Saccharomyces cerevisiae S288C: one gene and its partners. The gene in region 1 interacts genetically with each later gene. Each region holds a gene or a part of one and is shown on either strand. Other genes may lie near its edges.

What was found.
Region 2: mutations in SPO7 (region 1) and ERP5 together harm fitness more than expected from each alone (negative genetic interaction), as found in Saccharomyces cerevisiae (one large-scale study listed by BioGRID).
Region 3: mutations in SPO7 (region 1) and SDD4 together harm fitness more than expected from each alone (negative genetic interaction), as found in Saccharomyces cerevisiae (one large-scale study listed by BioGRID).
Region 4: mutations in SPO7 (region 1) and RSE1 together harm fitness more than expected from each alone (negative genetic interaction), as found in Saccharomyces cerevisiae (one large-scale study listed by BioGRID).

What each region holds. Positions count from the first base shown.
Region 1 is NC_001133.9:134,239-137,619, forward strand, and holds SPO7 (Nem1-Spo7 phosphatase regulatory subunit SPO7), read left to right. Parts: upstream 1-1,615; coding exon 1,616-2,395; downstream 2,396-3,381. Other genes in the region: MDM10 (Mdm10p), read right to left, coding at 1-1,427; FUN14 (Fun14p), read left to right, coding at 2,676-3,272. UniProt on the Saccharomyces cerevisiae protein: Regulatory component of the NEM1-SPO7 complex which acts as a phosphatase and dephosphorylates the phosphatidic acid phosphohydrolase PAH1. Essential for the formation of a spherical nucleus and meiotic division.
Region 2 is NC_001140.6:330,253-333,420, forward strand, and holds ERP5 (Erp5p), read left to right. Parts: upstream 1-2,029; coding exon 2,030-2,668; downstream 2,669-3,168. Other genes in the region: CTM1 (cytochrome c lysine N-methyltransferase), read left to right, coding at 58-1,815; UBA4 (Uba4p), read left to right, coding at 2,820-3,168. UniProt on the Saccharomyces cerevisiae protein: Involved in vesicular protein trafficking.
Region 3 is NC_001148.4:602,925-609,278, forward strand, and holds SDD4 (Sdd4p), read right to left. Parts: upstream 4,389-6,354; coding exon 987-4,388; downstream 1-986. Other genes in the region: AGC1 (citrin), read right to left, coding at 1-433; EAF3 (Eaf3p), read right to left, coding at 5,902-6,354.
Region 4 is NC_001145.3:173,674-180,658, forward strand, and holds RSE1 (U2 snRNP complex subunit RSE1), read right to left. Parts: upstream 4,633-6,985; coding exon 547-4,632; downstream 1-546. Other genes in the region: AIM32 (Aim32p), read left to right, coding at 1-401; GSF2 (Gsf2p), read left to right, coding at 4,753-5,964; pheromone-regulated K(+) transporter PRM6, read right to left, coding at 6,344-6,985. UniProt on the Saccharomyces cerevisiae protein: Involved in G2/M transition. Required for pre-mRNA splicing and endoplasmic reticulum (ER) to Golgi secretion pathway. U2 snRNPs associated protein required for the pre-spliceosome assembly.

The DNA of each region.
Region 1 (3,381 bases):
CCGTTTTCTGTATCAGTTGCTGATATAGATATTGCATTATCATTCTTTTCATCATCGGATAAACTTTCTTGAAAGCCTCTAGTGAATACCAGCTCTGTCCCGGCAGATATTAAAAATCCCCTCCATTTGCCTTCCCATAATAGTTTTAAAGTCTTGTCACGTAATGACGTGCTTAATTTCCAAACACTGGTAAAAATGGAACTATTTATTTTGTTATCAAATTTTTCGATGGTAGATCTTTCTTCATCGATTTTTCTTAATGACGACGAGAATGCATAAGTTAAATCATTTAATAGCTTTTGTTTGTGAACAGGTATATCTAGTGTAGAAGGAATATCGTTAACAGCTGAATTCAGATCCGGTACATTTTCGTGCAGTAGTTTAGTCGCTCTGCTGTTTGGATTTATATCAACCAATTCGTCGGAGATTGGTTCTAATTTATCATTATTGTTTTTATTGGTTTCAAGCAAATGATGCTTTTTTTGCCAAAATTCGCACCCAAATGAAAGATTTGATTCAATCGAATAAAGATTAAAATCATACTTCGCGCAAAAAGTAGAATTTGTCCCTGTCTTGGCCGAATATGTGGAGGATATATGGCCGAATAATGGATTCCAAGATAATGTCAAAGTTAGTGGTCGTCCTGTGTTTGTAGAATGTGTGTAATATCTTAAAGTTGTCGAACAACCGGGGCTTAAACTTACTAACCCTAACCAAAATTCAGCACCAAGCGACAACGAAGAATTATTGTACAGTGAGGTGTTAAACTTGGAAGGCGTGGTAAGGAAATTGTGTAATACTCTATAACCACATAATAGATCACTGGTGGAAAATATCCACTCCTGTAAATTGCGGTGAGAATCTCTTTGAAAATAGCACGTTAAAACGTTTAAGCTTTCTTTGAAACTACTGACACCCTTAAGCATAAATTGGGTTTGTGGACTTAGTCGTTTTATTATCATTGCTTCTAAATCAGAGCTGGGGTAGTACATTCTACCATAATAAAGGGATTTTTTAACAAATTTCGAGTCATGTAGTAATTTCTTGTCATTGTCGACTGTGGTGTTGTCACTACTCAACGTATTCGCACTACTAACACTGAAATTGAGGTTTGGTTGCAATTGTCTGTATGTTTCGGTGGCATCTTGTAATGGGATATCAGTAGAGTTGCGCATGAATTTCTCCAATTGCTGTGCATCGGAGTATAAATAACTCAGAGAACCATTTATCCTGGACCTCGTAGAAAAATCTAAAGAATTGAATGTATTGGGAGTAGATTTGTTGGAAATTTGCAGGTGTATTGCTGAGGGAATTCGGAAATCTAATAATGTTCTCGATGTGGCCGTTATATCCTCGTAGCTATTTTGCGTACTCCAATGGGTGCTCTGATAAAATGCCCTTAGTACTTGGTCCATATAGGGTAGCATCAAGATCGGTCTTCTCTGTTCGTGTCTTTTTCCTAACGTATATTTGCTTTGTTTCTTCACTCAACAATAAAGTCAAAGTAAAATTAAATACTAATTATTCTTAAAAGGGAAGATGCGAAATTTAGCGAAAATCTATTGATTATACACACAAAGGAAGAAAGGTAGTGGAAAGCTAAATAAAGGAGGTCATGGAGCCAGAGAGCATAGGCGATGTGGGGAACCATGCCCAGGATGATAGTGCCAGTATAGTGTCCGGGCCTCGCAGGCGTTCTACTAGCAAGACATCCAGTGCGAAGAATATACGGAACTCCAGTAATATCTCTCCAGCATCGATGATTTTCAGGAATTTGTTGATACTGGAGGATGATTTAAGACGCCAAGCTCACGAACAAAAGATACTGAAGTGGCAATTCACTTTGTTCTTAGCGTCTATGGCCGGTGTAGGCGCATTTACCTTCTACGAACTTTATTTCACTTCAGATTATGTCAAGGGCCTCCATAGGGTTATTTTGCAATTCACTCTTTCTTTCATTTCCATTACTGTAGTTCTTTTTCATATCAGTGGACAATATAGAAGAACTATCGTCATTCCAAGAAGATTTTTTACCTCTACTAATAAAGGGATTAGGCAGTTTAATGTGAAGCTAGTTAAAGTACAGTCTACGTGGGACGAGAAATACACAGATTCAGTAAGATTTGTGAGTCGAACAATTGCTTATTGTAATATTTATTGTTTGAAAAAATTTCTGTGGCTTAAAGACGATAATGCCATTGTGAAATTTTGGAAAAGTGTCACGATACAATCCCAACCGAGGATCGGAGCTGTGGATGTGAAATTAGTCCTCAACCCCAGAGCATTTAGTGCAGAGATTAGAGAAGGATGGGAGATTTATAGAGACGAGTTTTGGGCCAGGGAAGGTGCTAGAAGACGCAAACAAGCGCACGAACTCCGACCTAAATCAGAATGAAAGAGTTGGAGGGCTTCTTCCTTCGAATAAGAGGTCATATTTACCTATGTAAAATTGTAACCATCTATGTTCACACATAAATTATATTTTATACATTATTAGAAGTGAAGCTGTTGTGTCGTGAAAATTTTACAAATCCGTCATTTCATATTTAAGTTTTCCAACAAGTGCTAGAAAACCTAGGGGTTGTTGAAATTGGTTAAACAAGGCATCTTATTATACATACAACAGCATAACGCTAGAGGGGCAAGAAGGAAGAACTTAAAATAATAGGTGTAAAATGACTTTGGCTTTTAATATGCAACGGTTGGTGTTTCGTAATTTGAATGTTGGGAAGCGCATGTTCAAGAACGTCCCCTTATGGAGGTTTAATGTCGCCAATAAATTAGGAAAGCCCTTAACTCGCTCTGTAGGGTTAGGCGGTGCTGGCATAGTTGCTGGTGGCTTTTACTTGATGAATCGCCAGCCTTCTAAGTTGATATTCAATGATTCTTTAGGGGCAGCTGTCAAACAACAGGGTCCCTTGGAACCAACTGTGGGCAACAGTACGGCAATTACCGAGGAAAGGAGGAACAAAATAAGTAGTCACAAGCAGATGTTTTTGGGATCATTATTCGGTGTTGTTTTAGGAGTTACGGTGGCTAAGATATCAATTTTGTTTATGTATGTCGGTATTACAAGCATGCTTCTTTGTGAATGGTTACGGTACAAGGGATGGATTCGCATTAATTTGAAAAATATCAAATCTGTAATTGTTTTGAAAGATGTAGACTTGAAGAAACTGCTTATTGATGGGTTATTGGGTACAGAATACATGGGTTTTAAAGTATTCTTTACATTGAGTTTCGTATTAGCAAGTTTAAATGCTAACAAATGAGCAAGACAAATGACCAGATATAAACGAGGGTTATATTCTTTCGTTTTATACTTTTTTATTTTTGGTATTTCATTTATCCTATACAGTAAATATACATAGGGCTAAGGAA
Region 2 (3,168 bases), on another chromosome or scaffold:
TAATTCGCCATCCTCATAACCACTGAAAAATCGAAGTTAACCAAAAGGAAAGTTGAAATGGAGGAAGTGTTCCGTTTTTACTCGAACTCTAGAAATATCTTCATTCATAAAAGCCTTTCATTAAAACCATCCACCATTGATGACCCCAAAAGTGGATATGGCCTTTTCGTAGAACCTTCGAAGTTCAAGAATGATGAATTGAAAAGTGAAACTATCCAATTGCTCCGAATCCCTAAGCGCTGCACGTTTAATATAAACACACTTCTGGCTCTCTTGGGAGATGAGGACGAATTTTCTTCAAAGGAAGAATTTCAAAGAACTAATGACAAAATTAAGATTGCTCTTCGTGAAATAATGGCTCATCCGAATTTCAGTGTGTTCCTGACAGAAACAAATTTACTCATAATTTATTTCATGATATTTCAAACTATTCGTAGTCGTTATGAGATTCCCGAAAATATCCAATATTATTTAGAAAATGTTTTAATGAGCATTGAAGTAGAAACAGCCATGGATTCTATTGAAAACTTAGCTACTGATTATGGACATTATCCACAGATTTTTGGCCTTCGAGAGACGCTAAATTTATTTAAAGAACTGTTTCACGACGTCTTGAATTTAAGTGATATCAAACATCTTTATTCTGCAATAATTTCACGTTGTTTAGAGATACCAGAAAGGGCCGATACCAAAAGTGAAGAATTCACGGTCCATTCTACTTTAGTCCCTATTGTAGATTTTGCCAACCATGAAGGCACCCAAAAAAATGCTTATTTTGACATCGACCCTTCAAATAATGACGTTTTACTTCTATTGGATACAAAAGCGGTCCAAAGTGAACTCACAAAACCTATTGAAGTTTTCATTAGTTACTCACCAACAGAGGATTTATTTTCCATGCTTGTAACATATGGATTCACCCCAGATTTTAGAGGGAATTCCCAATTTTGGACTGTATCCTTTGACAGGTGCTTTTTAAGAAACTATGATGGACCAGATAAAACTACAAATTTAAGATTGTTTTACAAATGGATGCACATAAATCCAGTGGTACCACTAGTTAAATACGAGCACAACGGAAAGACTCGCTGGTTTCTCAATGACACCACGCCTGAATTTGATATGCTTTTGCTCCCATTCATTCCATCGATAGATGATGGCAAAATTGCTCGGTGGGCGTACGATTCCACATGTCATTTGATGTTCACGAAAATCCATTGTCTGATAAATCCCGAGGCCAACGAACATGCGTTAATGATTGCAGAAAACTACCGCTCTCTCATTAAAGAGAAAGAGTCAAATGGTGACGATTTCATAAATTTACCGCCACTAGCTTGGTCATTGCGTTACAAAGATACAGAAAACGATTGTGTACGGCAAAGACATATATGCAGTGAAGATGCGGTCGCTGTACTTAAACAAGAAGAAATGCAAGACTCAACCAAAACCAAATCCCAGTTTACCAGTTTCTTTCGTAAATTTTTAGAGTTTCGTAGATCCAAAATTATTAGGCCTACCAGTGATTCAAAAGTTGCAAGCATATTATACCAGCAGGAACTGGAAATAATTGCTGACTTAGCAAAAGCTATCGATAGCAGCTCTACCATTTTTTTCAGCGATCTGAATGTTACATTGGACACCGAACCAGAACGGCTCCCCCCTCTAAGGTTTTTAGATGATTACATAGAGATCTCTGCGGATAAGCAGGAGCCAAGCCCAATTTGTGAGGATCTTTCTTATTATACACCCAGCAGGTTTACTGATTTTTTTCAAGAAGAGGTAAGCCAATATGCGGCTTTCTTTCAGGATGACTAGATGAGTACCACTTACGATCTTGTATATAAATGTTTTTAGTTGTCCTTTCTTCTACATTAAAAGCATCACAAAGAACAATCTGACGCGTTTTTCCACTGTCTCTTTCTCGCGTTTTATTCTTTTCCGTTTGAGACAAAAAAAGAGGAGCTTTGTAGTGTAATACTACTAGTTACTTAAGGGAACACATCAAGCATTCGGTGTCTCACAGGCTACTATGAAATATAATATAGTGCATGGAATTTGCCTATTATTTGCTATTACCCAAGCTGTAGGGGCTGTCCATTTTTATGCGAAGTCCGGGGAAACCAAATGCTTCTATGAACACTTATCCCGGGGAAACCTACTGATTGGGGATTTAGACCTATATGTAGAAAAGGATGGTCTGTTTGAAGAGGACCCTGAATCCAGTCTGACAATAACTGTCGATGAAACATTCGATAACGACCATCGTGTCCTAAATCAAAAAAACTCACACACAGGTGATGTTACTTTTACAGCTTTAGACACAGGTGAACATAGATTTTGCTTCACTCCATTCTACAGCAAGAAATCAGCCACACTAAGAGTATTCATCGAACTAGAAATTGGCAATGTTGAAGCGCTTGACAGCAAGAAAAAAGAAGATATGAATTCACTTAAGGGGAGGGTAGGCCAGTTGACTCAAAGGCTATCTTCTATTCGTAAGGAGCAAGACGCTATCAGAGAAAAAGAGGCAGAATTCAGAAATCAAAGTGAATCAGCTAACAGCAAGATAATGACGTGGTCTGTGTTCCAACTTCTCATATTGCTGGGCACCTGTGCCTTCCAGCTACGCTATCTCAAGAATTTCTTTGTCAAACAGAAGGTAGTATAATATACCATGTTTGTTATATAGAGTTTATATATCGCTCATTACGAATCGGTGCAATGAGCTCTTCGATATGAAATATTCCTTAGCTTAGTAATAAGAGTGACTTAAGCTGATGCCGTTGACTGCAAAAGGAAGTAAATAGAAGTCAATAACAATGAATGACTACCATCTCGAGGATACCACGTCTGAACTTGAAGCATTAAGATTGGAGAATGCACAATTAAGAGAGCAGCTTGCCAAGAGAGAAGACAGCAGCCGCGACTACCCATTATCTTTGGAAGAATACCAACGTTACGGAAGACAAATGATTGTTGAAGAAACAGGTGGTGTAGCAGGTCAAGTCAAGTTGAAAAATACAAAAGTTTTGGTAGTTGGTGCTGGAGGTTTGGGATGTCCCGCCTTGCCCTACTTAGCGGGCGCTGGCGTGGGCCAAATAGGCATAGTAGATAACGATGTGGTGGAGACTTCCAATTTGCATAGGCAGGTTCTTCATGATTCTAGCA
Region 3 (6,354 bases), on another chromosome or scaffold:
ATTTCCTAAAGAACTCATATAGAATAATGAGATGATAATTATCATATTCTAATAAATTATTAAAATAAAACCAATCATTAAGCGTCAGATATCCCTTGTTTTGTTCATCAATAGCGAAGAAAATACACCCGAAAACGTTCTTGGGTATCTGGTTCAAATTGAACGAATGGTCCGTAAACTTCGAATAAATAGTCTTTGAGCTAGATATCAGTTCAATGAAATCGTCGTATGTTAAAATTAGTTCTCCTGTAAGCTTCTCCGTGTCAGGTTTCCCATTTCCTGCTGTGAGTTTACTGGAGTTCACTGTCGGCATATCTAACATACCATTACTGATACTAATAGGCTTGTCCTCTTTTGTAAGGACACTTGCAAAATATTTGAATACTTCCAATTGTTGCTTCTTTTTTCTACTGTTCGAATTGATTTGCTCCATAATAGTATAATAATTCTTTAAGGTCGGTAGCAAAGCTGCATACTTTCAAACTACGCTATGAAAGTTATGTACTTTTCCAGTGAAATATGTTCACAAAGAAGGGATCAGGCTACTTCGAAAATTATGGCAAACGCGAGGTTGTGAGATAAAACTTGAAAGTCTGGTGAGATTAGATATCAAATCTTAACATATAAAAGACAGGTTCGTCTTGAGGTATTTATCTATCTTCGAAATATTTTTTTCTTTGCTTCGAATACTGGTTAATTCTGAGATTCAATATATGTTTCGAGATGTTTTTCCAACATGCCGGCAGTACTCCCCTAAAGCGATGCTGCAGAAATTTTTCATAACCGCTTGCAGTGGGATGACCAATAAAGAAAGCTCTTTCTCCTACGTAAAACATAGATCATACTTACATGTAAAATATGAAGCGCAATTATATACAGTGTCGATTTTATTTAACAATTTCACAGCTGGCAGTTTACAAATGTTTTCATAACCATTTCATTAATCTAACAATAAATATGATGATTTACCAATATACGAATATAAACTAAACATCAAACATGTTATGACAAGTGGGTGACGTTTTCCCTAGGCTCCTTTCCAAACAATTATCGAAGAGTTTTCCGAATTCGCGCCCTAAATCCCAGTAGCTCTTGTTGAAAATATCTCTCATAAACTGCATCATCCCGCATAGAAAGTGGGTATTAGAAATATGTTGAAGTAAACTCGCTTTTGCCCAAACGTCATTCTGAAAGCTAACTACATCGAGTGAGCTATCCACATATAAGTTCCGATACATTCTCAATAGGTAAACTTCAAAACTTTCTATTGGAATGTAATTGTTCTTTTCCTTTAAATTGTTGTTTGCAATCGTCGATCCATTATTATCAGTATTGCCTAGAATGTTTCCACCATTGCTGTCATCTGGTTGAAAGCATTCATCCTTTGAGGCTTCTGTATTATCCCATATGCTAACTTCACAGCCATGTAATGCAAAATTACAAGACCAAATTAGGAGTGAAGTTAATGCAATCGCATAGGGTCTAGTAATCACAGGATCAGAATTTATATTGTAGCTCTTCACTACGGTTGGAACGTTATTTTCCTTAATGATAAACATTTCAAATAAGAACTGGAAGGCATAGACTACAGCTACACCCCCATTGTAGGGGTCCTTAGCGAACTGGAGAATCCTGCGACTGATCATGTCATATTCATCGCGACCAATTGGTACATTCATTCTCCAAGGTGCTCCTGCATATATGTAATAATCATGATGAAGAATACGTAGGACAATTTGAGAGATATGAATAACGGGAATTTTACAATTTGACGGATTATCGGAGGAAAGCAAGTCCAAATCATCATCACATAGTCCATCTCCATTATCCTCGTCAATTTTTCTGTTCGTTAGTGTCTCCTCAGATGGAGTACTTATCCTACATGCTTTCGGATCAGTGCAGCTTTTCTGAACTTCGTGAAGCCAATAGTTCATTGCAAATGATAAAATATCTTTCCATGAAAGGCCTAAATGATCAGTGATTCCGCCCCTAAAGTTAGTAATGAAATAGTCACCATTAACTTCCTCTTGACATTGAAATAAGATCGAAATTATCCCCGCCAAAAGAATCTTTTTACCAAAAAGACTCTGAATATTCCAATCTGTAGTGCTTTCCAAGTCTGTAGGGGTACTCTCTATTCCACCATTGTTGACTTTGTTTCTCCGTATATTATTATTTCGTAAGATTTGAATGACATTTTTCATTAATTGCATTAACGCAGACAAAAATGTATTATTCTCATCTCTCTTTGTGCTGCCATACCCATGCTCCATCAGAGTTTCATAGCTCAAATCATAAGATTCCCACACTTGATCTGGACAGGGTAAAGTTAGTTGAATCTGATTGCTATTAATAAATAAATTCCAGTATCCAAACACTACAGCATGTGTAGTGTCCATATAAAATGCGTAGAAAGCTATTCTTTTCAACATTTCAAAATCAATCCATCTTTTATAAACTTCTTGTGGGTCTTGAATTGAATTTTCCCCAGAGGTTTTGCCGGTTTTGACCATTAAGGGATGGCCGCCTAAAGAGGGCGTTCGCCTTAGCAATTGAATGGTCGTTCCGTGATGTAAAAAAGACCTTTCATGTAAATACCTGTTCGTACTTGTTTTTTCATATCCTTCGACTAATAATAAACTTTGAATGATGTAGGTTTTAGAAGGTGGTTGAAAATCAGCATGAGAAAAAATTATCCATCTTAGAGGACCACAAATTGGGTCACTAATCTGTTCACGATACTCGCTTCCCAAAAAACTTGCGCCAGTCATAATTAGTGCCAAATTCAAAATTGCAGGCTGTTTATCAACGTGAAAAGAGGGTTTGTGAAGCAGACCGTATTGTGGATGGAAGTTCAACCAGAAGGATTTTAACGATTTGTGTATAGATTCAATAGAGACATAGCGTAATTCTGGAACAAATGAAAACATTTCTTGACATTTTTCTTTTGATATCTTATACTTTGTTAAGGGATCCGGATGGAAAAATGACGGGACACTTTTCATAGAGTGACGCAACTGTTCCTTGTAGTTCAGAGAGGAATTGTTTCCTACTCCTGAATCTTTAGATGATCTCCGTTTTAGCTCGTTGATATTAAGCTTCTGACTGGAAAGATTGTCCTTCACTGAAGTACTGGGGTTATCGTTGAACTTCGGTTGTGCTTTGGGAATTTTAATGTTATCTTGTGGTAACTCAAACATAACTGGAGGATTCTGGAACCCTTCGTCTTGTTGAACAGGTTTTTCATTAGGTGGGATTGTATTCTTGTCAGAAAATGTATCTTCAATACTTACTTGCGGGGCTTCAGAAAGTTCTTGCATGAAAGATTGTAATGGGTCGCTGTTCAAAAAATTTGTAGAAAAAAGGTCCTGCATAACTGACAAATTAGCACCGCTAGAGGAAGATGTTAATGGATCTCCAAATGGATTCTGGGGTGGTAATTGTTGTTGTTGTTGTTGTTGCTGTTGCTGTTGCTGTTGCTGTTGGGCAAGCTTTTGCTGCTGAAAGTACTGTTCCTGTTGTTGATCCTGGGTAAGTGGCTGGAGTGGCTGCTGATATGAACTACTTGCAAAATTTCTGTCTTGATATCGTTGCTGCTGCACGGCTGGATTGATATTCATATTTTGGTCATTGCCATTACCGTTGTTATTCGCTGCATCCACTTCAAAACCATTAACGCCTGTACGGTTATCAAATATCAAATTAAAAAATTGATTACCATTTTGACCGTTGTTCCTTATTCGAGGATCATACGATGGAAAAGTAGGACTTGCTTGCTGTGGATGCATTTGTTGCTGCAACATAGGTTGTTGCAATGGTGCCCGCAGTTGCTGCGGGAATTGAAGTTGCTGCAGTTGTTGAATTTGTTGTGGTTGTTGTGATTGCTGAACCTGTTGAGGTTGTTGAGCCTGTTGAAGAAAAGGACGAAATTTTGATTCTTGTGTGATAGATGGTGGTGGATTCACAGAATTTTTTATTAAGTTAATCGTAGAAGTTCCACTTTGCGTAGAAAGGGGTACTTCACTGGGATTATATGGTGCATTTTTGGAGAAGTCCTTATTTGATGAGGAAATCTGGTCCTTGCTTGGCCGACTTAATCTGTTTTTCACCTTTGAATGCCTCTTTTCATGTCTGATCAGTAAATCTTTCCTTACAAACGTTTTATTGCAAGGCGCATTTGTAGTAGGAAGCACGTAAGAACAAACATATATCTCTTTCGGCCAGTGGTTTAGCTTGTGTCTTGATAAATGTTCCTGACGTGAGAAAGTTTTATTACATTCGGGATGTGGACACCTAAATCTTTCAGCAGGAGAAGAGCTTGAATTTGGTGATAAATCGTTATCATTTTCCCTTTTCCGGAGCCTGCCAGCCAACTCTTTGCCGTGCATTTTTGCCAATATTAAGAGCTAGCTTCACTGCTTTATTGGTCACTTTTTATAATTATAAACATAGTAGATGAGTCCTAGAATCTCAATACAGCCTTTAAAACTATTAAAGAAGCTGTTCGCAACTCACAAAAAAAATAAAAAAATAAAGCAGAACGAAAAAAAAAAAAAACAAAAAAAACAGTTAACTATTCTAATTACTTAGAATCTTTAAAAGTCTTACTGTAATTCGATCAGTGGAGAAGGAAAGCGCACATGTGATATCTCGCAATTTCTTCTCAAACTACCTTGACAGTAATTTTTCTTAAAAACGATTGGCTCCTACATGAAATCCACGAAAAAGCACGGTAGTCTTGTTAGAGGACACTGATATACGAGGAAAGAATTGATAAAGCGGAAGGTCTTTGGAAACAATTCAAGACCGATGACATAACTTTTAAGAGGTAGGTGGGGAAGCCCATATGGAGAATTTTAAAAGCAATAGGGTGCTCGCTTCCAAGCAAATTAGTACTTTTTTTTTTTTTTTAGCAGGAGAATAAAGCTTCAAGCTAATGCACTAGAGTTCGAGGTGCATCATTTCAGTTTTTTTTGCTAGGGCATAATTGATCAGCCTGTTAAACTCATTGCATAGTCAGTAAATTTACAATCCCCGAAAATAATGGTTCCCTTAAATAAGCGAGTTAAGGACTTTTTTTTTTTTTTACAGCAGTAGACCAACCTGTACATGTTTCATAGTCAAGTAATAGCCTGACGAATATCAAACGTTTCCTCTTTTTCATTCCTTTCCTTCAAATGCCTTGGGTTGAAAGGATAGACGTGTATTTAATGCAAGCTCTATCTATAATGAGTGTTATTACAATTGTTATGCTTCTGCATTGAGCGATGAATAAATATAAACAACTCCTTTTCGAACAACTTGTAATTATCCTACGCTTTTGCCTGAGGTCCTTTTTAGCCATTGACAACAAGCAAGTGTCTTTCTGTATGAAGTAAACCCTGCATAAAGTTGTTTTTTGCTGCGTCAGAGGGTTAATGACTTCGAAAGACCCTTTTCTCATATAAGACGCGCCACAGAAGAATGCGCACGACAACGGACTATTTTAGATTATATAATGGCGCGTGTGATGCTGCTTTAATCATGTTGCATAGACCATGCAATTACACTAAAAATATAAAACAAGGAGCCCTGGACAGAACTTGGTAGTGTGCAAACGAGTAAGTGAAGATGATAGTACATTATATACGAAGCTCTTAGTAAGCTCATACTAGATGCGAAACGATGGATACGTCAGAAAAATAACAAAAATAAAATATAATCATTAATGATGTTTTAACTCGACAAGCCCCTTTCAGAGCTGCCATTACCCTAAGAACCTTGCAAAGAGAATAAACTTGAATTTCGTAAAGTGCCACGAACAGTGTCCATATTCTTACACGAGATATTCTGTGAAGAGTTATTGCATAAATACGGAAGAACTAAATACTAGAAATAATCCCAAGCTAGAATATAAACGTCTCACATACCTAAAGCCACTCCTTCGTATTGGCTAGACGTATTTACATACAGAGCATCGTCACTTCTATTTGGATCCTTGTCATTGAAGTATTCGTCCACATGCATCAACAACCAAACCAAGAAGTCTTCGGTTTGTTTGATTAAAAGCTGACAGCTTTGTAGATCCATTGTAGTAGACGAGATCAGCTCTGGTAAAACACTTATCAACCTTAACAGATGGATAGCCCCATAAATTCTAATTGGTACTAGTGGCTTTTGATCCTTCGATGATTTTTTCAGAAGTTCGTCATATTGCAGCCGTTCCAACCTATATAAAAGCATATTACCCAGGCACTTGTCAAAATACAACTTGAGACCGGCACAGTATTCGCTCAACTGTGACTGGGACCCTGGCGATTCCAATTCTTGACTCACTTCATGTTCGTATTTATTCAGTACCATCTCTACCGTCAC
Region 4 (6,985 bases), on another chromosome or scaffold:
TAAGCGGTAAGGCCAAGGCTTCCCAACAGGTTCATGAAGTGCATCATAGAAAGCTTACAAGGTTTCAGGGTGAAACTTTTCTAAGAGATTGGAACTTAGTCTGTGGGCATTATAAGAGAGATGCTAAGTGTGGAGAAATGGGACCCGACATAATTGCAGCATTTCAAGATGAAAAGCTTTTTCCTGAGAATAATCTAGCCTTAATTTCTCATATTGGGGGTCATATTTTTGCTGGTAATGTCATTTTCTATAAACTATTCGGCAGAGAAAAGATGCAAAACAAGCTGGATTCATTATGGTTTGGTAAAGTTTACCCACACAACTTGAAGCTGTTATGTGAAAACTTGGAAAACGGTAAAATCATCGACGAAATGTACAGAGGTGGCATATCGATGAATTAAAACGGTTTCCTTTTAAAACAGAAATAAAGATGAGGTGAAATTTTATATTTCTTATATTTAAAGCTATCATATATTCCTTGTACATATATTTATTAAGAAAATACATTAACACGCCTTTATACTTGGTATTATTACTGTAAAATCATTACATGTAATTTGTTCTGACTTCGTTGATTGTTTGAATTATATCCTCCACTTGTACACTCTTTAAATTTTTGGCCAAAAATTCCTGCTCATTCAAGGAAAGTCTCAGGAAATTTTCACATAAATCACCATCAATAACTTTACGTACAGGGGCATAATAGCTTCTGTATTCTTGGTGGTCTCTACCTAAAATGGAACAGGAACCCTCACATATTATTTCATCCTCTATACCATGCCGTCCTTGTAACACAACACTTCCAGATTCCTCTTCATCGTCTTCCTTACGCATATTGTTATTCTTCTTTCTTGATTCATAATCTAAATAAAACGTATCATCCGCCTCAGCCATTATATTCTCAATGTTTCCCATCATAAAAACATTCCCCTTGGATAATAAGGGGATAAAGCATCCCACGGTTCCTTGTAAGCCCATATAGATACAACCAGGTCTATCAGAATTTGAAAGGCTGTCCAGGATATGGAAATCAGTGATGATATCATTAACAAAGAAGTGGTTCAGTAGTTGAAACTTGAACTTGCAATCATAAGTATTGGGTAATTTCTGCTGTAAAGTGATGACGTCTAGTGGGTACTTGATGGCCCCATTAGATAATTCGCTGGGATCATGATTTGACATGATTTTTTCGCACTCTGGTGGAGACCTTAAAGTCCACGCATTTCCATATCTATCAGCGCCTATAACAGTTGCCTCATCTAGAAATTTCAATACCGTCACATGGCGTTTTACAGAGTCATCTACGTACGGAATAAATACATTCCCCGCAGGATCCCAGATAAATAAAGTGACAGATTCATGTATATCACCAACGGCCAGTCTTTCATAATTCCACTGGTGCATAGACACAATTTTTGTTATGGATACCGGGGTCTGTGTTACGGACCTTCTTAATAATTGCTTTTTCCCCAAACCATAAAGGACAATAGTGGAGCCCATGGCTGTCAGCAAGAAGTTTTTAAACTTCAACATAGCATGTATTGGTGAAATGATTTCTGTTTGGTGAAGTAATTCAATATCAAAAGATAGTTTATCTTTGTTAACTAATATCTTGTATGTTAACAGCCTTTTGTCGCCAGCACAAATGATCAAATGATCAGCTTGTCTTGTGAAATCTATTATAGCAGCGGAAACGCAATCGATATCGTCCAGTATCTTGTATAAATGATCCGAACTGCCAAACTTTAAGCATTCACCATCAATTTGCAGTGATATACGGCATTGTTTCTTACCACTGTGATTATCAATAAACAAAATGCTTTTCGGATTATTGGGAAATGATAAAATAGTACGAGGTCGGAATGTAGATATTTGTAACATTTCCATTTCTTCTTCCATTTCATCTTCTTCCTCTTCATTGCTTTCATCTCCTCCACCGTTCTCTTGCTTGTTAACACTTGATTCATGAACGTGAAACCAGTTATCCAAAGTTGGAAAGTTGGAAACTCTGCCAATATTTAAGCGTCCTGAGCTCGATATTGAACAAACACCGTTGATTGCAACATCTGCGTTAACAAATTTGGAACAACTTAGCATGTTTTGATCCTTTAACTGCCGTATGGTCCACACATTTTTCCACGTGTAGCTTACCCATGTAGAAGAGGAATGGCAAACCACGCATGACATCCATTTAGCTCCACTACTATTTATTTCTTCTTCTTCTTTTTCATCATCATCGTCTTCTTCTTCTTCTTCTTCTTCCTCATTATTTAGTGATACAGATATCTCACGCAAATACGAAAGGGAAACAGGCTTCAAGCCAAGGAATCGCCTTTTTATGTCAGTGAACGATCCGTCAACATCCCCTATATGAAATTTCATGTAAACGCCATTTTCTAAACCTACATGCAAATTAAGCTGTCCTATTGAGGAATCTCTAACCATTATCATGTCAGAAATCTTTTCACTAACTAATTGCAAACTTATTACAGTTAAAAAATCTTCCTTTTGGTCTTTAAGAGACATTATTTTGATCATACCCTCATTGTCAGCAATGGCTAATAAATCAGCATGCTGCGTATCTTGCACAATCGCAACTTTAGAGGGCATTGTGTCCAATTCTGGGTGGGTGGTTAATTCGATTAACGAATCCGAAGATACATCTATCTTGAAATAAACCAATTCGTAATTTGATAATGATATAATTAGTTGTGTTTTCGAGGACGTGGCACATACAATACGAATTCCCGCTGGTGGCACCCAAGTCAGCTTATTAGAATACCTAGATTTACCAGTCGGTACGATATGTCTTAGTTCTGCGGTGCATACTTGGATAATAGAGTGTGAGCCCATTAGGCATGTATGAATTGTTGTGTCCTGAGAGAGCTTGAAAGCTGAACGCGTTGCTTCATCCGGTGTTAGTTCCTCCATGGACTCGTTGTCAATTTGTAGTATCATAGTTTTCTTGGGAAAAGTTATGAACAAAAGAGTATTGTTATCGCCGGTTGTTGCAGGATCGGGTATTAGCCATAACTTGGTTGCGTTCGGGGGTAAACTAGTAGATATCAAATTAGAGTAATTCACAGCATTTGTTAAAGTTATTATCTTGTTGTTTGTAAAATGTTTAGTGGCGATAGACAGTGGCGAATCACTGACAATTTGAGATTTTATTGAAGGGTTCAAATTCAATTGTTGCGATAATATGCTCAAATTCTGCAACTTTATGGATGGTTCGAAAACTAGCGACTTATTTGGATCTTTTGAGGTTAAAACATTAGAAAAATCATTTTTCTCTACACCAAGTTTCTCAAACTGGAAAAGAAAGTTGTTATTCATTTCAGATAGTGCAAAAAGATAACCGTTTTTGAAAATGTGTAATTGGTGTGAATTTTGGATTGTATCAAAGTAGGACAATTGAACTAAAGGTCTATTTCTATCATTAGTGTCTGGACTTACAGTTAACTTAAAAAGATCGCCATGGTTAGATTGTAAAAGTACGAAAAAATCATTTTTCAATTTCTGCACTATGCCTGATATGATTGTTACATTTTTATGACGGCTATTTGTGATAGATCTTTTGGGTATTTCCACTTTCAGGCTGAAAAATCCGTTCATATCCTTTACCAGAATATGATTTTCGAAGCCTATGACAACAAAAGGGTTGAAAAGGGTATCATAGTCAGCATCATAGTTGTTGTCGCTTAGCGAAGTTGTTATATTATATCGCGATAGATCTGGCAAACTCAGTACGAAATTGGCAGATGGGTTAACTAAATAATCTGCCTTCTTGACGATGTGATTCAAACCCAACTCGAGGACATAAAATATCAAGTGTACTGATAGTTGAGTAGCGGCATTGTCGATTTCTAAGGTAACAAAACATGGATTATTGAAATTTACATCAACAACTGCCATATCCAGCGTTACCATATGGGGTCTGATGATTTCCAATGGAGACGAAATCCTCAATTTTTGAGCATAATCAACGAGGAAACACAATTTATTTTGTTCGACAGATGAGAGAATGATACAACGCCCATTAGGGTCAATTTCCATGTATGATATGGGAGAGACTCTTCGAAGGGTGGTCCTCGTCAATGGCTGGTTCACTAAAGTCTTAAGTCTAAGAGCACCTGCATGCATAATGATTTGCACGATACTTAGGTTACCAGAATCGGAAGTTAGCGCTAGAAAAGTGGGCCAGTTGGAAGCTTTTGCCCTTGACCCTGAATGCGGCAGATCCAGCGACTTCATCGAGGTTATCGTCGCAAACAGGTTTTGAAACTTGGCAATAAGCTTTAGTTCCCCATCTGCAGTATCATAAAGTTCTAAATGCGTCTCAGTAGCTACGCACAATTGCGACTGCTCACGCTTGGACCCTGCTTCCAGATCGACGAAGTGTCCGATGCAGGAGTGCACGAAATTCGTCTGTTTCTTTAAAGTAAGATGGTACAAGTATAGCTCATCATCTTTAGCAACCATTGTTATGTTATGGTCACTCCTTGTTCTTCTTTCAGCCTCTCGTTTTAAACCGTCATAAGCCATCGTTGTGCTAGCTTGCCCAAATAGTTTACGCATCTTCGCCGTGTGGGGCGACAAGCTTACTACTGCCATTTTGCCACCTCCCCACATTTAATGATGGAAAATATTATAAAAAAGCGAGAAAAGAAGCTAATGGTGCCATTGTTTTCCTTTTTAGAGAGGGGCAGCAGAGATCGGTGGACTTTGTTTTGATAGAGGGCGATTGCAAGCATGGAGATTTACATTAGACTTAACGCAGATGTCGAGCACGACTATGCGTTTCAGGTGTCAAATGAAGACACCATAAATAACAAAATTAAGAAGATTTTCCCTTCCAAGACGGGTTTGGCGGACTTAATGGTGCTGAGACCATCAATTTTCCATGAGAAGGAGCCCGTAAAGTTCTATAAGTCTATCCATCCAGGGTACCTGTCCGAAGGTGGTTGTTTGATGTTCCATTATGAAGCTGATAACGAAGAAAATCTCGAGGAGTTGAATGACTCCAAGCCGCTTATTGACCAGTTGTGGCCTGGTCAGCTAGTTGTTCCGGAGTGGAAGCTATCCAAGAAAAACATATGGGTATACACCATTATTATGTTGGCCTGGCTATATACCGATTTGCCCGACGCCATTTCTCCAACCCCAGGTATTTGTTTGACTAATCAATTGTCTAGACTATTGATTCCTGTAGCCAAGCACATGGATTTACCTGAAATTGCCGCTAAACTCGAACAAGAAGTTCAGGCAAACTATTCTAGTCTCGTAGCTCAATGGCTTTTCTTTGTCATGCACATTTTCAAAGTGGGCATAATTACTTTATTCCTCAAATTAGGCATTGCCAACCCCATCAGCTTCAATCCTTACAAGTTATGGAGTTTGAGAGATTTAACTTCTCCTTCTGCTAACGGCGCTAAGAATTCTGGCGGCAATAACAACACTACTGACTTAAAGACACGTTTGCGCTCTCTGGGCTGGATTGGTGCTAAGAGAGCTACTTACGACGATTACCAGACTAACTATTACAACTATGTCATAGATAAGATGGGTGGTGCAGTTGCTGCTTATAGAGCGGGCGCGATTAGGAAAGCTGCAGCACCAGGTATCCAACTTGTGGCTGGAGAGGGTTTCCAAAGTCCTCTAGAAGATAGGTTCACTGCTTCCACTTTCACGGCTATTAAAACCGAACGGAAATTCATTTTAAGTGAAGAATACTTTGTGGAGCTGGAAAACAATCTAAAGAAGATCTTGGAAGAGTATGACGGGGATATTGGTAAGATGAATGCTGAAATTAGGAGGTTTAGAAGGTTTGGTATTTATGAACCAGATGAAAAACTGGCCTCGCTAGTTAAGCTCAGAAGAGAAATTGCTGATGAGAAAGAGAAAGCATCAAACAATGATGCTACTTTTGGTATAAAAAAGAATGATTTGAAAAAATCTAATTAATTGTAAAACCAAAACACTACCATCCAGACTTTTTTTTTATTCAACCATAGCCTTTAACTACTACTACTACTACTAGTACTACTACTATTACTATTACTATTACTACTACTAGAGGGCCTTTTTTTACTCCTAGTATTTTTGTACTATCCTATTTACTCTCGTTGTTTTTATTAGTTTTTTCACTCTTTTTTTCAATTCCTCACGAATCTACTGTTTTCGTAGTGCTTTTTTTTGTTTCATTGTTTATAGCCATCAATGGTTTTTGTTACTATCATTATCATTATAAATATTTCATACAATATATACAATATATATACAATAAATGAGAATCGATTTACTTTTAATGCATTTTTGCAGTCAAAAAAAGCTTCGTTTACATTTATATGTATTTATGTTTGTATTTCTGGGGGAAATATGCCTTTATGGGCGTATATACTCTTTCGTACGTTTCTACATCCGAGTAGCAGTAGTAACTCGGTATTGTGCTTTCGTCGCCATAATCAGGACTATCATAATCGAATTTTTTTTGCGTTTTGTTGTCACCACATATGGTCCCTTCTTCCTCATCATCTATCAATATTCCCAATTCGTAGACAGTTCTACTTAAATTCTCGTCAATGACTTTAGACACATACTTTCGTAGTTTCAATTCATACCCCTTAACCTTCCTTTTACTAGACAAAAATCTCGGACGTATAAAAATGATGAATATTATTATGCTTAGAATTAATTTGCTTATTAAAATTACCCATATGATAAACGAGAACAACATGAAGGACAAGATCACACTTTCTTCGTAATTTGTCTTAGCAATATGTTTTATCTTGTTTATTATTCCATTTAGGTCATCTAAATTACCTAGGCTTTGAGTACTATGGGTTCCGCTACTGGTCTCATTCGAAACTGTCAGTAAAACTGACCACAAAGTTAATCCGTTGATTATTTGCCTTGGAGAGTCACCGAACAATAGCCTCAAACATCCACTGATTTCAAAATATGAAAAGAATAACCACTTACTGAA